Oryzias latipes: one gene and its partner. The protein of the gene in region 1 binds, or shares a complex with, the protein of each later gene. Links are inferred from orthologs where the notes say so. Each region holds a gene or a part of one and is shown on either strand. Other genes may lie near its edges. The genes, in order: fnip1 and lamtor2.

Region 1 (3,822 bases):
GAGCAGCGTGTACGGCAGCCTAAACACGTAAGAATGTGCTCAAACACACGCACACGTGGCAAGAAGTCCTACATAAACCTCCTCATTTTCATTGAAGGCCATCCGTCTGATCCCTCAACAGGTTACAGGACAGCCTTGAGTTCATTGGGCCAGAGACCAACACCCTAAAGCCAGAGCAAAACACGGGGCCCAACAATCTTCTCGGGACCATGGGTAACCAATGCAACACCCACCACCACTACAACCACATCTGCCTTCATCCTCATGAAAAATTAACGTATGAAGGATGGGTGAATGGTGTTTTTTTTCCTCCATTATTGAGTAGTTGGAATACTCAACCATGACGATGATGGCTGTAGTTGAAGACCAGCTGCGAATAGCATTTTTGTCTTTTCTCATTTTACTTTATTTTATTATTCTTGTCTTTTGTATTCCATGTTATTTCTCACTTCAAACCTTTTAGCATTCTTGTTTTCCCTTTTTTTGTTGTCCATCTAAACGTCCACCAACTAGTAACTTTTTTGAAAAGATCTTAAAGGCTAATGATCTTTAGGACCATAAATATTCTCCTGTAAAAACAATGGTGGTGTTTTTGCCACCTCCTTAAATTTGATAACACTCTTTAAAAAAAAAAAGAAGAAAAAAAAAAAGAAAGTAGGCTTACCAAGTTTACACAGGTAGCCATCCTGCTTGTCTTAAAAAAGAAATGGTGATTCGAAAAACATTAAACTAACATTTTTTATCATGTACTTTAATACATGTTCTCTCTTTCCAGACTAAAAGTCGCCTTTAACAGGAGGGTTGAACAGAAAGTTTCAGCCTTTTTTTTTCCTTTCTGACTGACTCACTAATCATTGTTCATTGGTTTTGTCACGTTCCCCCCTCTTTCTGTACTCTCCCTTCCATGTTTTTTTGTTGCGCAGGATTTTCTCAGCTCTGCAGCCCTCGAAGGGCCTTCTCTGAACAAGGCCCGCTGCGCCTCATCAAGAGCGCCTCTTTCTTTTCAGGTTGGCGCTTCAAACTGGCTGTGACCGCTGTACGCCAGTTGCATGTGTCTGTAGAGGCTATAGCTGGATTAATGGTGGTTGCTGTGGATATGGCTTGATCGGGTGCATGCTTTTGTTTAATCTCGCCTTTAGAACTAGTAGTACTGGCATGAAGTAGATGGGTGTGTATGTGAATACCCTGGGTGATAAGTCCACCGCTTTGGTCCGCCAAAAGTTTATCTGGACAGCTTCATGTTTGGCATTGAAGAGGTTGAAGGGAAACATTTAACTTTCCTTTGTGAAAACTCAGAATGACGGCAACAATAAAAAAGCTGTCTGTCAATTTTTAAATACATCGGTTTATCTGACCAAGGTGTATGACTGCACACCCACAAAGAGCATGTTTTTTCACTGGTGTTGGTTACTGTAGTCATATTTTGGTCAATGTTTTGCATTTTCTTCTTGAGTTATTCCCTGATCAGCACGTCCAATTCTTTTTTCTTCTGTTTAATAGATTTGAAAGTGGTGTTTGGAGGCATTTTGTCTTTTTTTCTTTTTCTCTGTAAACCTTTAAGGGATGGCGCATGTGACCAGAAAACACACACTCGTTGATATTTACTGTCAAGCTACGTACACGCCGGGCTAGTAAATTATGGTGTTCACACTGCACTGACACTACCCGATACTAAAGCATGTACTTGAAGTTGGAAGAGGCTCCAGGCTTTTGGTTTCACAGCTCTATTCTGAGCACAAACCACAGTTATTAACTTTTCCTTCATGAGCAATTTTCCTACGGGTTGGCACTTCCCCTGAAGTAAAAAGGACGCTACCCACATGTCTCTGATTGGTCAAAGTTCAGCTGGTTAACTTTCAATGCCACGTCAGTGGTTGCGCATTTTGTCTATAGGCAAAAAACGCACTTAAAGATCTGCGTACCGACGTGTGAACGTGAGAGTTTTGATCACGGAAACCTGAAACTTTCATTCAGTGGTCACTGGAACGCGTGTATGAACGTAGCATCACAACCAAACTTCTACCAGAACATCATGTGTTCAAGAAGGAGGAAATAACCACTCAGACCACTACATCAAACACTTCCTACCATTTTGAATCCAACTAAACATTAGACTGTTTCTTCCTATGCAAGTGCTGGATGTTCATAAATGTTACCTTGATATCCATAATTTATCAATGCCATATCTTTTCTTTCCCTTTTCTGGTGCTAGGTAGCATCTACTTCCTAAACTAATTCAAACAAGCATCAATTTATTCATTGATTTTAATTTTTAAGTTTAAGCCCCCCCCCCCCCCCCCACACACACACACACACACACACACACTACTTATACTGAACATTTGTCAAAATTGTAGAGTTTAAAAGTAAAGCTCACTCATAGGAGCCTTGTTGCTGGACTGTAGAATTGACCCAGTCATTCTGGCTTATTATGGTTTGTTTAGGCTCTTATTTATGCTCTTGGCTTTTTGACACCTTTTGTAATGGTACTTCAAAATGCAATGGAACTGTTGGTCAAGTTTGCAACATTTGAATATTATACTTGCGTCGTATGAGACCGAAAGGTTTATGGCACACAAGTGGCCCTTTTGATATGATGCATGTGTGTTAGTTATTTTTATGTTTGCTGTGAGTATGAACTTTGTTTTGATCTTAACGTAAAGCGCTCTGTTGAGAGATTTGTCGAAGCAAAAGCCACCGTCTTTATCGAGTTGTAAAGTAACACGCTGTCACAGCTGCAGTGCTTTTTGACTTCAGCTTCCTCTTGTTGGAGTTACAAAAACAAAAGGTGCTCCGCTTCATACCACTGATCAGTAGAATTGCTGTAGCTTGGATAAGGGATGTTATGGATCTTTAACGGAGCTTTGCAGTTCTCTAACTTTCTTAGATAAGAGTGCCTCTCCGCATGTTTTAACATTAAACTTTGTACAAGTTAGTTGCCCTTTCTGTATTTTCCTCACCGCCTGACCCAAATCATATCTTTGTCTCTTCCATTTTTCTCACATTTGTTCATAACAGGCCACAGTCACCCCATGGACATGCCAGGTCGAGGCCCCCACGATGAGAGGGACAGTGGCATCGCCAGGTCAGGTACGTTAATGCGGCTAACAGCCCAAGCCTGGATTGACCTACACTCTGTTCTACATCCCAGTTTTACACTGAACTCTATGGAAGAACTCAATCTTGACACGCAGAAACATCTCAAACTTGGTGGGTTCCTGAAAATATTTACAACCTTGAGATGTCAACAGAAGGACATATTCAGATAGTTCTTGATTACCAGCTACTTCTCGTGTTAATGTGTCTGACCTCATCAGCCTACTCATCAGGGGCAAGCCCTAAACGGTTACAAAATCACTAGTAATTGAATCAGAAGTGCACAAGCTGCAGTCTTAAAGCGGGGAATGAAAGTGACTCAGGGATTTCCTCTCCATGTTGATGGGTGTAGGAGTGTGAAACTGTTTAGAGACATGGAGCCATGAAAAGTTTAAAGGATCTTCCCCCACAAAAGGCAGAGATAAACTTGAAGGAGAAGAGAGGGTGCTTGTATAAACCTCAATGAACTTGGAAACTTTGTCCCATGGAAACTGACCTTTATGCCCCCAGCTCTGCTCCCCCTCCCCAAACGTCACCATGTGTCATTGGCACGACTGGCATTGTGCTTTCTGTTTGAACACAGGTCACATGCGGAGGATTAAATATAGCAGCTCTCAAGCCTCCTACTACTAAATGAACTTTTCATTTAAGCCTCGTCCTTTGATCTCACCGCCTGCCACCCACTGCTCGCATGTTCCTTTTTTTAACCTAGTTTCCTCTTGCCTA
Region 2 (4,342 bases), on another chromosome or scaffold:
AAATAAAAATTGCTCTTTTTTTCATTCTTTTCAAGAGAATGAAACTGATGGTGGGCTGATAAGGGACCGCCTACAAAGTGCAAGTTCTGGGAAAAATAGACCAAGATAAATAAATACATAATAATAATAATAATAATAATAATAATAATAAAAATACTAACGATTAGTCAATGGTTCTGTTGAAAGTCACAAATACTCATCATAATTATGCTACAACGATGAATTTGGAAATTGATTATTTGATATTATAACAGGGAAATGAATCACATCTGATCAAAAATGTTCAACAGTTCTGAAGATGTTAAGGCTACAGTCACCAAACTTTCTCATAGGGCTAATTAACCTATTTTGACTAGTTAACTATTAACAAGTTTGTACTAGTTTATAGTTAACTATTTTTTCTATTTGATAATTGCATTACTTTTCCTTGATTGTTGAAGATACTTCCCAGAAGTGCTCTGTTTACGTGTAAAATGCTAAAAGAAGCTTAATAAAATTTTAAAAATTTGGAAAATGTTGATCTGTTTATTAAGTTTGTCATTTTTTTTTGGATGTGCTACGACAGTAACAGATCGGAACTCGGTATCGGCAGCAACTCCAAATCCAATAACTTGGAATCGGAATTTGATCTGAAATATGCTTCACTTCCACTAAACTACATAGAGGAGAGTGAATGAATAAACGAGTGAATAAATGTCCTTGGTTGAACTGAACTTGTGGGGTCAGGAATCGGGACTCGTTGAGGAACCACAGCTGATGAAGACCCATGTGAGGAAGCAGCGCCCTCACCTTTGCTTTCAGCATCCCGAAGCCCACCGTCTCTTTGGCGTACATGCAAAGCAGCAGGTTAGCCACATGCGTTATGGCCACTCTCCCTTCCTGAGAAAAAAAAAAAAAGCCTTTTTATTGGTCGAGTCCAAAGACTAAAAGTCACTTTTCTTTACAGGTTGTAACTTCCAATCATAAATCCACTAAGTCAGATGGATTTCTCACAGAACACTGCTTTGCTGTTAGTTTGCGATGCTCAGATTTACGACAGTATTTATGTAAGCCTGACCTTCACTCAGTTCAGCAGCTCTCAGCTAATGTGCAGACATGAATTATTACTGAATAAGGGGCGATGAGGCGCAAATCGAACTGAATCACAGGTTTGAAAGAATGGATCTCAGCTTTTTTTATGCGACCAAATGCAGCAGGTTTCCCCTCCATCTACAGAGCAAGACTCTCCACAAAGCCCCTCCTCCTAAGGCAGAGTGGGGGTTTTACTGTGTGGATTCGCTGATTTTCGGGAATTAAGTTAAACATTTTGCCTCAGAGCTGGAAGTTAGAAATAAGAAAATCATCTGGTTGTTTGCATGAGCGAAGATTATTTATGTATCATGAGAAAAATGATGCAGGACGTTGACACGTTTGACTTGAGCAATGTTTACAAAACTGTAGAGCGGGGCAAAAAAAAATGGGCAAGGAGTACAAGGAGTGTGTGTTTGGTGTCTTCCTGTGGTGCTATTGGTATCAAGAGCCAGCTCCTTCCATATCTGAAGGTTTGCTCAAGTCCCATTATTCATATTTTGTACAACATTAAAAGAGCCATTTGGTCCCGTTTGAAACAGACCAGACTGAACAGGTGCCACCATGTATGCATGCTAAAGCAAAACTACAAACACATTATTTTATTTAAATAATACACATTTTTTCTTTAAAGTCACAATGGAGGGGGAAAAAAAACAGCTGTGATGCCTCAAATTGCAGACCCCTTCAGAGATGTTGGGGCATTCATAGAATCTAACTTCAACAAAAGGGCTGAAGGAAAACAAGGAGAAAGTTCCCACCATGCAGTCCATGAGGATGAACTTGAGTTTGTCCTCGTTGAAGGCCTGGTGGCCGTTCTTGTCGTAGGCGGCCCAGATGTTGCTGGCGATGGCAGCGGTCACTCGAGCGTCTGTGTCGCCGTAACCGGAGTACGCCAGGAGGGAGCCTTCGTTGTTCAGTAGGCTGCTCGCACAGAGAGACGGTTGTTCATTACACACAAAAACAACACAATGATGAAAAGTTACAGTGACAAAGTTTTAAGACAAACGCCATTCCGTTTTCAAACCATGAAAACCAAGTAATTTTGTCAGGAGGTCTCCAGGACAGAAATTGATCGATTGATGCAAAATGGCTAAAACGATGAACAGATCTATATCAAACAGATCTACATCAAACATTACAGATTACTTATTTTCCCACACCACTTTTTAAATGTAAATCGATTTTTTTTGCTTTTTTTCTACCTGATAATGATATTTTGTACCCTGAACAGACTTTCTAAGCAAAAATAAAAACGAACCAAATATATTTTAAAAAGACTCTTATTTTGAAATCAAAATTCAACTGCTTGAAATTCGTGTAAAACTGTATTTGATTTAACAGCGGAAAACAAATCTTGAAAAAATATATTTGTATTTATTGCAATAAATAATGAAAATGTAAAAGTAGTATTAAGTTGGTGAAGTAATAATTATATAAACGTGTCGTTTCAGGGGAGCTTTAAGAGTTCTAAGGAGCTAGACGCAAACAAACCGCTGCTAGCTAGCTGGATGTTAGCCTGCTAGCTCGCGGTACTCACAGGGTGCTCTGGACGCCGTTCGTGTTCGCCTGGCTGAGAACTTGCGTCAGCGCTTTGGGTCGCAACATGGCCGACCTCTCTCAGGAGAAAAAACCCAGAAAAATGATCTGACTGAATAAACACGGGGCTTAAAAAAGAAGAGAGAACTGCTCAATAACAGAGCAAAGTCAGCTGACTCGATTCTTCTTCTGTTTCCTTTTCCGGTACATTTAGAGATGCATCATGGGAATTGCAGTTATATCCAAATACATGTTTCCTATTTATATTTATTATGTTTTTCTTTAAACTTTATTTTTAAATTTTTAATTATTCCTGATTTTTTCACAAATCTTTTTGTTTTAAATTACTTTCCCATGTAGTCTGTAAACATTTTTGAGAACTGGAATATGGCCATTCATTCATCTTCCTCCGTTTTGTCCATTTCTGGGTCACGGGGCTGCTGGAGCCTATCCCGGCCACTTGTGGGTGAAGGCAGGGGACACCCTGGACAGATTGCCAGTCTGTCGCAGGGCCACAATCACACTCCCATTCACACTCACACCTATTAGAGCTGCTAGAATATGACCAGTTCTTTGGAAATGTATCATGGGAAATATAGTTTGCTTCAGTGAACGACGAAAACTTCACCTCCTTGATTCATCTCCTTTGTCATATTTAGAGTTTTTATCTCAAAGATTTTATGCTTCAAAGAAGTGTACTTTTTATTCTACTTCAACCAAAGAAGTGTTATTTAAATCTTTTGACACTCCTCCTTACAGTAAAGGTTAGTCTGCTTTGAGGTTTTTATTGTCTGCTGGCTTCCTGGTGGGAGGACATGTTTGCGCAAAGTGTTTGGCAGAATCGTTTCCCTCCTGCCCTTTGGACATCAGAAAAAGTGATCGGGCCGAGGATATTATTGTTTTTTTTTTGTCTGTAAGAAGAGGATTTTGTTCTAAGAGGTAAATCTGTTGTGTTTGAGTGGACACACTTATAAAAAAGACACAAACCAATCATTTGTATAAACAAAAGTTGATTTGATTCCATGCTGTAACTGCTATGGTACATGAGTGCATGGTTAATATGTATTCTCTGATATGTGTTTTGGTAAAATTATAGTCACACAAGTGCATCCGTTTACAGTTTTGTTTATACCGTCAACCATTGAAAGCTACAGACGTGGTGTAAAATCAGAGAGGATGTAGTCTCATTTTGGCAGAAGGAAATAAACACATTTCCTTCTAGATATGTGACAAAAAAGTTAACTCTTTAAATTTATAGTAAAACTCTTTGAGGTCATTCTGACACCTCTGAAGTTTAGATGAAAGGTCAAAAAATCAGTTTTTTCTATTCTAGTCTCTGCAACTGAAAGGACAAATGATGATGACGAATAAAAGTGTCTTTTGGAGAAAAGAAATTACAAAAAAAATCTAATCAGTATGTACAGTGTGGCTGCAAGAAAGGCTAAATATCACCAATTTTAAAAAGAGTATGAATTTGCAAAACTTTGAGTGAATACTAATACACCTTTATAAAATGGCAGAAAATACATTTTATTTCATTATCAGAACATTAACCCTTGTGCTATCATAGGCACTTTAACACAGAGAGTTAGGTCATGTAGACCCACTAGAAGTGCTCTGAACCTTTTTTCTTCAATGATTTGTGATCTTCACTGGTGTCCATGGATTACATGAAATCTTTCCACCTTTATCCACCTTTGTCATGGCAGGGAGAACACGTCAATGTAAGGGTGGG

Evidence for each region.
Region 2: fnip1 (region 1) and lamtor2 share a complex: the UniProt entries of both Homo sapiens proteins name them as parts of the lysosomal folliculin complex. The link is inferred for Oryzias latipes from reciprocal best matches to the Homo sapiens genes FNIP1 and LAMTOR2.

What each region holds. Positions count from the first base shown.
Region 1 is NC_019872.2:4,900,388-4,904,209, reverse strand, and holds part of fnip1 (folliculin-interacting protein 1), read left to right. Parts: coding exon 1-27; intron 28-121; coding exon 122-213; intron 214-923; coding exon 924-1,007; intron 1,008-3,018; coding exon 3,019-3,090; intron 3,091-3,822. UniProt on the Homo sapiens protein: Binding partner of the GTPase-activating protein FLCN: involved in the cellular response to amino acid availability by regulating the non-canonical mTORC1 signaling cascade controlling the MiT/TFE factors TFEB and TFE3.
Region 2 is NC_019874.2:28,620,297-28,624,638, forward strand, and holds the start of lamtor2 (ragulator complex protein LAMTOR2), read right to left. Parts: upstream 2,823-4,342; 5' UTR 2,677-2,822; coding exon 2,609-2,676; intron 1,993-2,608; coding exon 1,830-1,992; intron 880-1,829; coding exon 790-879; intron 1-789. UniProt on the Homo sapiens protein: As part of the Ragulator complex it is involved in amino acid sensing and activation of mTORC1, a signaling complex promoting cell growth in response to growth factors, energy levels, and amino acids.